2 linked regions of the Sus scrofa genome follow. The protein of the gene in region 1 interacts with the protein of each later gene in a pairwise test. Links are inferred from orthologs where the notes say so. Each region holds a gene or a part of one and is shown on either strand. Other genes may lie near its edges.

The links.
Region 2: the proteins of TRIM69 (region 1) and FAM110A interact in binary tests that used the Homo sapiens proteins (3 or more experiments, as listed by UniProt). The two-hybrid records come from large-scale screens. The link is inferred for Sus scrofa from reciprocal best matches to the Homo sapiens genes TRIM69 and FAM110A.

The regions. Positions count from the first base shown.
Region 1 is NC_010443.5:126,775,146-126,778,736, reverse strand, and holds the end of TRIM69 (E3 ubiquitin-protein ligase TRIM69), read left to right. Parts: intron 1-2,331; coding exon 2,332-2,873; 3' UTR 2,874-2,881; downstream 2,882-3,591.
Region 2 is NC_010459.5:34,434,691-34,439,094, reverse strand, and holds the start of FAM110A (protein FAM110A), read left to right. Parts: upstream 1-1,365; 5' UTR 1,366-1,603; exon of another isoform or gene 1,604-4,404.

The sequences.
Region 1 (3,591 bases):
GAAGTGGGTAAATCAGGTAGGTCTTATTTACTCTGTAAGGACTCTGGATTTTATCTTGGGTGATGGGAGGCATACAAGTATTCTGAACAGGAGAACTAAGTGATCTTATTCATGCTATGCACAGAATAGGCTGAAGACAGGCAAGACTGGAAAGAGAATAGTTAAAAAGCTATTGTAGTAGTTCTAAGTCAGTGGTGAAAGTTGTTTGTCTATATATTTGGAGTAGGCTTAAAATGTATTTTAAAAGTGGAGCTGGTAGAACTTACTGTTGGACTGAACAGGGCATAAGAAAAAAAGAGGGGACACACAGCTGACTCTTAGGAATATTCAGAGCCAGGGCAGACTGAGCTAGGTGGATATGTCAGAGGCTTAGTATCAGGCTGGGGTTCTAAAGAAAAGTTGACAGGAATTCTTTTCAGTACCTCCAAAGAAATCCTAGTTCTCACATTGGAAAGAGTGACAACCCAAGGTGGATGAGGATTTATGTGAGAGAGAAGATTCAGCCTATATGGGAAAATTTCAGGATTCTTCAAGTCTCCTGTTGGAAAGAAAAAAAAAAATCCTTGGGATGATGGAAAGACTTAGGCTTTTCTCAGATGAGAGAGATGGACTGGTTTGATCTTTTTTTTCCAAGGATAAATAAATCCATTAAAACAAATGTATGCATATTTGTATATGTGTCTATGATGTGAACACGCATAGTTTTTGTATTTCCTTTAGCAAATTTTGTGCCAAGACTCAATTATCTCACATCTAGAATTTGTGTCACTTTGTGCTGCTGATACACTTCCAACCTATCTTCATTTAGAAATTCTTTTTTATACTGCTGCCCATTGATTTGTCTAAATTACCTGTGATGAAGGACCAGTTTTTTAAATCTCAACCTGTCATGTTTATAGAATACAAGTTAATTACTTGAAAAAGTGGAATTAAAAAAAAAGATTACAAAGTACAAGCCCAGTTTTTTAACTAAATCAACTGACATAAAAATTATTCTGTCAGAAGTTCCCTTGTACAGCAGGTTAAGGGTATGGTGTTGTCACTGCCATGGTTAGGGTCGAAGGAACTGGCCCAGGAACTTCCACATACTATGGACAAGGTAAAAAAAAAAAAAAAAAAAAAAAAAAAAATTACTCTGTCAAAGTGTAAGTTTCTTCCTTAGCCTGATATACCAAGTCTTCATAATCAGACCTCTGCCTACCTTTATACCCTTATCTCTTGCCATCATCTGCCATATAACCCTGTGTTTCAGCCTTGCTAAGGTACCTGCAGCTCTTGAAAATATTGTGCACCCTTTTTCTTGTTTGTGTATTTGCTTTCCTTTTGCCTGGAATATCTTTCTCCTTTTTCACCTAGATAATTCTATTTTTACTTTTATATCAGCTTACTTTTTACTTCATCCTAGAAGACCTTTACTTTTACTTGACACTACCCTTAAAATAGATATCCTTCCTTTATGTTCAGCAGTTACTCTCTATATACCTCTATCATAGTATTACACCGTTGTAATTGTTCACATACCCATTTCTCCACAAAGTTTGGGCATTATGAATATAAGATGTATCTGATCTCTGTATTTCCATTACCTAACACAGGAAATGGGCTTACATTTAGACACTTAATAAATGTTTGTTGCATGAACATGTAAATAAGTCATATGTTTCTGAAAAGAAAAAAAAAGTATAAGTTTCTAAGAGCTTACTCTCAATTTCTAAAATATCTTGCCTCAGACTGGTAATTAAACCATTTGTAAACCACATTCTGATTATCAGTAGCATTAAGCATTCAGACCTCAAACGTTTCACTGTCTATTGAACCAAATATAAACTTCTCGCCATGGTCTTAAAAATTCTGTACCAGTTAGCTCAGTCTCACTTGCCTCTAACAAGAAAGCCCTTATCTTCTCTTTAACACAAGGTACCGTTTTTTAACACATTCTGTTTTTGTCTCTGTTTACCCAAAGCATCCTGATACATCTTAAAGATGTTATATCAAAACTGAGGTGCTTATTGCCCTTAGATAACTTTCCTAGGGTCCATTTACCTAATCTTTACCCTTCCAGTATTCATATTTTCTTATATTTATCAGCATAGATTTATGTTATTTGTATTTTTATTAAAGCATATGTTACTTCAGAGTAAAGTCTGATTTTTACCATTGTAAAAATATATAGAATATAGCCACATAGATATCAAAACAATATAAAGTATATAAGTAATAACCTGCTAATCTAAATGTATATGTGCCTAGGGAGATAAAGCACTGGTGTCTATGGGAACCTGCATTCATCCCTTTACCCCCATGCCCTGCTTTCTCTTCTTGTCTTACTAGGCCTGTCTCCATTAACACTGGACCCTAAAACTGCTCACCCAAATCTCGTGCTCTCCAAAAACCGAACCAGTGTGTGGCATGGTGACATTAAGCAGGTAATGCCTGATGATCCAGAGAGGTTTGACTCAAGTGTGGCTGTGCTGGGCTCTAAAGGCTTCACATCTGGAAAATGGTACTGGGAAGTAGAAGTAGCAAAGAAGACAAAATGGACAGTTGGAGTTGTCAGAGAATCCATTCTTCGGAAGGGCAGCTGTCCTCTAACTCCTGAGCAAGGATTCTGGCTTTTACGACTAAGGAACCAAACTGATCTAAAGGCTCTAGATTTGCCTTCTTGCAGTCTGAAACTGAATAACAACCTCAACAAGGTGGGCATATACCTGGATTATGAGGGAGGGCAAGTATCCTTCTACAATGCTAAAACTATGAACCACATTTACACCTTCAGTAGCACTTTCATGGAGAAACTTTATCCCTACTTCTGTCCTTGCCTTAATGATGGCGGAGAGAATAAAGAACCATTGCATATCGTACATCCACAGTAATTTGTCATACTGTTGTATAAATTCGGAGCAATATTAAAGAGGTATTAAAATAGTTTACCAGTCTCGCTGGTTTCTCTTCCCAATTCATGGGGAACTCTAAAATAATGAAAAGAGGATTCACAAATGGAATTTCATACTCAGTGTGCTAAGTGGATTTCACTGGAGCTTTTCAAGATGTAGTTCTAATTCTCAGAGGTCTACTATGACACAGGAGACACTCTCAGGAGTGTGACCATCATAGTAATCTATTATTACTAGGGCAAAATGCAACTTGAGTTTGCAATGCTCAGGAAGCCTGTACAAACTTGTTTAGAAATTCTATCATGCTATCCTTATTCTCCAACATAATTATTCTTAATAGATTCATTTTTAGATGTGTTCCCCTTATCTTTTAACGTAAAAATTTTTTTGTCTCTTTGTCCTTTTAGGGCGGCACCTGCAGCGTATAGGTTTCCAGGCTAGGAGTCTAATCGGAGCTATAGCCACTGGCCTTTGCCACAGCCACAGCAACGCCAGATCCAAGCTGCGTCTTCGACCTATACCATAGCTCATGGCAACGCCAGATCCTTAACCCACTGAGTCCAGGGATTGAACCCGCAATCTCATGCTTCCTAGCCGGATTCGTTTCTGCAGTGCCACGTTGGGAACTCCTAATATAAATTTGCAACACATTTATTTCTAGAACTTGTTACTGTAATTTAAAAAAAAAAAAGGTTTC
Region 2 (4,404 bases), on another chromosome or scaffold:
TAATAGAATCTTTCTCCTCAGATGGTTATGAAGTCAAGTGAGACATTGTGAGTATGGCCTTGAGCACAGTCTAGCAAGGGCACAGTTAGTGCTGGGTTTTGTATTTAGCTGGTCCTCACAGTCTCCTGTTGATGTCAGAGCCAGTCCTGAAATGGCTGGCTGTGCCCATGCCAGAGTACAGTCATGGTTAGCTAGGGCTACATTATTAGCCCTCTTCCCTCACCTGCCCAAGGCATGTCACAGTCAATGCTCAATCACTGACAATCCAATCAAAAAATGAAAAACACCAGTTGGGACGGAAAACAGTCTGACTCCAAAATGAGCAATGCCCTAGACCCAAACAGTGACTCACAGCTAAAAAATTCCCTCATCTGGAAGGGCTGAGTTAATTTTTCTAATTCTCTTTTTAAAATTTGTTTTTTGGAAGTGCCCTTGTGGCACAGTGGGTTAAGGATTTGGCATTGCTGCAACTGTGGCACAGGCTGCAAATGTCATGCAGGTTCAGTCCCTGACCCAGGAACTTCCACATGCTGAGGGTGCAGCCAAAAGAAAACAATTATACTGGTTTAACTGTTGGAAGCTTGGAAAATTCATATCAGCAAAAAGAAGAAATTAACTATTGCACATGTTAATACATAAATGTAGTCCATGTGATATTACAATTACATATTTAATGCATATTTACATTGTACATAGTACTTTGACACAACTTTTAGAAATATAAGACTTAGTGCTTTCCCCATATTTTAACGTCATTCTAAATGACTGCATAATATTTCTCATCAGAAAGTGAGGATAGTTAAAGGTACCTATAACTATGAGCACTGACAAGAGTTGTGTCATGAAAAATTACTTGTAAAAAGCTCTGTAAACTCAGTTCTTCTGCAGGATGGATTTATATATCCAATCTCCTTTTACTGAGCACTGAAGTTATTGCTGTTATTTTGCTACAGTAAATAAAGCTGGGCTATATTAATCTTGTTCATATATTCGGTTATTTCCTTTGTCAATATTGAGAGTGCTGGATATACGCTACTTCAAACTAACCCACTCACTCTGCAGATTGGGGAACAGAGAGGGAAAGGGGCGTGCACGGGCTCACAGAGCGAGTTAGTTGGAAAGTCAGTACTAGGAACCGGGAGTAAGTCCCTGCTGAGCAAGGGCAAGAACCAGAGGCCACTGGGGAGGTGAGAGGCGGTGAGGGGCGGGGATGGACCTCGGTGCCGCCGGCCAGGGCTCACCCTCCTGGCTGAAGCTGAGTGGTCGCCTGGCAACGCGGGCGGCGCGGCGTTCGAACGGAAGCGAGAAACCAATCAGGATGTCCGGGGCAAACCATTCCGGTGTGGTGGAGGGGGGAGCGGCGCGTTCACTTCCCCTTCCCCTGCGTCCCCAGAACTTTACTCTGGTGGGGGCTTGGAACAGTCGAGTCCCCTACCTCCTCTCGGGTGTTGAGGGCAGCTCAGAAGGACCTCCCGTGCTTCCCTACGCGGGGCTGGGGCCTCCCGAGACGCGTTGTGTGCGACCGTTCCCCGCCTGGGTCCGAGCTGTCAGCCTCCTCAAGACCCGCACTGGAGGAGCCGGACTCGCCTAGCGCGGGCTCCAGGTGAGGGCACGGGTGGCCCGGGGCGCCAGCCCGGGTCTAGGGGGTGCTCAGTTCACCCTGCGCCTGCTGTGCGCGTCCTCCCCGCGTGGTACCTGCGGCGAGGAGGTGGTACCCCATTTCACAAATGAGAACGCTGAGGCTCAGGGAGGCAGTATCCTAGTCTAGCAGAGAATCCGATACAGGTCTTTCTGCTCCATACCTCAGTCTCTAGTCTACGTTGATCTAAATAGATCTGCCTTGAGAGGCTCAGATGGGTCACTTTCTTAGCCTCTTATCAACAGGAACATGGACAGTAGAGCCCTGGCTGGAGCCCCATCTGGCTGTCCCTCTCCCGTGTCGTCCTGCGGGGTGGGGGTGGGGGGTCCCCTCCTGGACATCTGTCTTCACTTCTCCAGAAAGCCAGGGGGTGGACTTTGGGCTCACTTGGGATCTTTCTGCCTGTGGGGCTCTGAATTAAGTGCTGTCCCTCTCAGAGGCTCTGGTGGGACTGACATTTCTGGGCTAGGTGCCAGGGGGGGCTGCTCTGGCTCTCCAGTTGTTGTTGGATTCTTGGGAATCTACCACAGGTCGGCGGGAAAGGCTAGAGGCAGCCCCTCAACCAAAGACACTAGTCACCAGAGACTTTGGAGTTGGGGGTGGGCCTGGGATCCCTCCTGGTAGAGCATCTGACCAGGCTCTGTTTCCTGGGGACCCCCACCCCCTATCTCCCACCCCCAGGTTGCTGCTGTTGCTGTCCTTTTGTAGGTGGGGAAACTGAGGGTCTAAGAAGTTAAGCCCCTTGCCCAAAGTCATATGGTCAGACTTGGCAACTCTGGGGCTGGCTCCCAGTCTATCTGGCTTCAATCTTGGATTCCTAGACACTCAGAATGGTGGCATCTGGAAGTCTGGAATCTCTTTAAGTGGAGTTACTTACCCTCTCTCCTCCAAATCCACCTCCTTGGTGGGGGGGAGAGGAGTTCTGGAAGCTCAGAAAGAAAACAAGTCTTTCCTTCATTCTTTTAACAAATATTTACCAACTTCATATGGCCCCACCCTCCCCCTTCTCTATTTTGTTTTTCTCAGTAGCATTTACCGCGCTGATGTCCTATAATTTCACTTATTAGCAAGTTTATTATCTTCTCTGACTGGAATGTGACGCAGGGAGGGGTTGGGCTAAGTGAGGTAGTTACCTCCAGTGCAAAATTGAGGGGTGCCTAAAACCCCAGTAATCAAATGACTAGAGCTAACATTTGTTGATCATTTGCTGAGCGCTCTGCTGGTGGGAGTTCAGTCGATATGCAGCACAGCCCCCCAGCTCTGTCGCAATTACAGGTGCTTCCTCCTGACCTAGCTGTCCCACTTCTAGGTGGAGTGACAGAGGTGCAGTGAGGCTGCAGTGTGGTTTGTAATAGAGAGAGACGACACACATACTTGGTGGCCGTTGCTAGAGGCTGACAGGTTCTTTATGTACTGATGTGGCACAATTAATAACATAATTGATAATATGTTAATAACACATATTAAGAACAATATAACTGAGTTAAAGAGCAAGATGAAAACAGTACAGAGAGCTGTTGCCATATGTGTAAAAAATAGACTATATGTCCATTATTGTTTGTTTGTGACTAACATCTCACTGGGAGGACGTGCAGCTATCTCGTCGCAGTGATGCCTGCAGGGAGGGAAACTGGGGACAGGAGTGGGAGGGAGGTTTTTTTTTTTAACTTTATTCCCTTTAGAGCTTTTGAATTTTGAGCCACATACATATATCACCGGGTTAAAACATATATGTCTTATAGGAGTTCCCACTGTGGCGCAGTGGAAATGACTCCGACTAGGAATCATGAAGTTGTGGGTTCGATCCCTGGCCTTGCTCAGTGGGTTAAGGATCTGGCGTTGCCGTGAGCTGTGGTGTAGGTCACAGATGCGGCTCGGGATCCTGTGTGGCTGTGGATGTGGCAGAGGCTGGCAGCTGTAGCTCCAATTGGACCCCTAGCCTGGGAACCTCCACACGCTGTGGGTGAGGCTCTATAAAAAGGAAAAAAAAATTATATATGTATATATATATGTATTATAGATGATCTAATCATGAGACCACTGTCCTGTCTCTGTTCTGTCACTTGCTCGTGACTTTGGGTAAGTTTCTGTACTTCTCTGGGCCAAGAAAAAAGGCCATGATTGTGAGCTCAGGCCCAGGCAGAGGGCAGCCTGGGACAGGAAGTGGGCTTGGTTGTGGGTCAGTCCCAACCCCACCTTCCTCATCCTGTGTGCCAGGCCCTTCCCAAAGGCTTTGCATGGCAGTATCTCTGCTGCCAGTCCCTTTGTCCTCATCTTGCAAGCTCAGGTGCACACCTGGCGTCCAGAGGATTGAGTGGGCAGAGGTGTGAGGTCGGCGGGCCAAACAGGAGATCGTTGCCTTAGGCTGCGGCACCCACACCCCTCCTGCAGCCTGTTTACCTCTTCTTTCTGAGGTTTGTGCAAGGTTGCCCTGGGCAGAGCTGACTCCAGGCAGGCTGGGGCACGAGTGTCTGGGAGAAGTCCAGAAATAGCACGGGGCCCGCGTGGCCCTAGAGGATGCCCAGCTGGGTGTTTCTGACCCGGACAGCTGGGCTGAAATCGAGCTGGGCTGTCCTAGTGTCCTGGGGTCCCTGCTGCCTGGAGCCTTGCTGATCCCCCTCTGGGGCAGAAGAGGGCCTCCCTGTCTCCACCCACGTCTGGGCCAGGCTTCTGCTGAAGAGAAAGGGAGAAGCAGGTGGAAGGAAGGGGTGAGGTGGGAGGGCAGAGTGTCAAGAACATTAGAAACCACACCTCTGCTCCCTCAG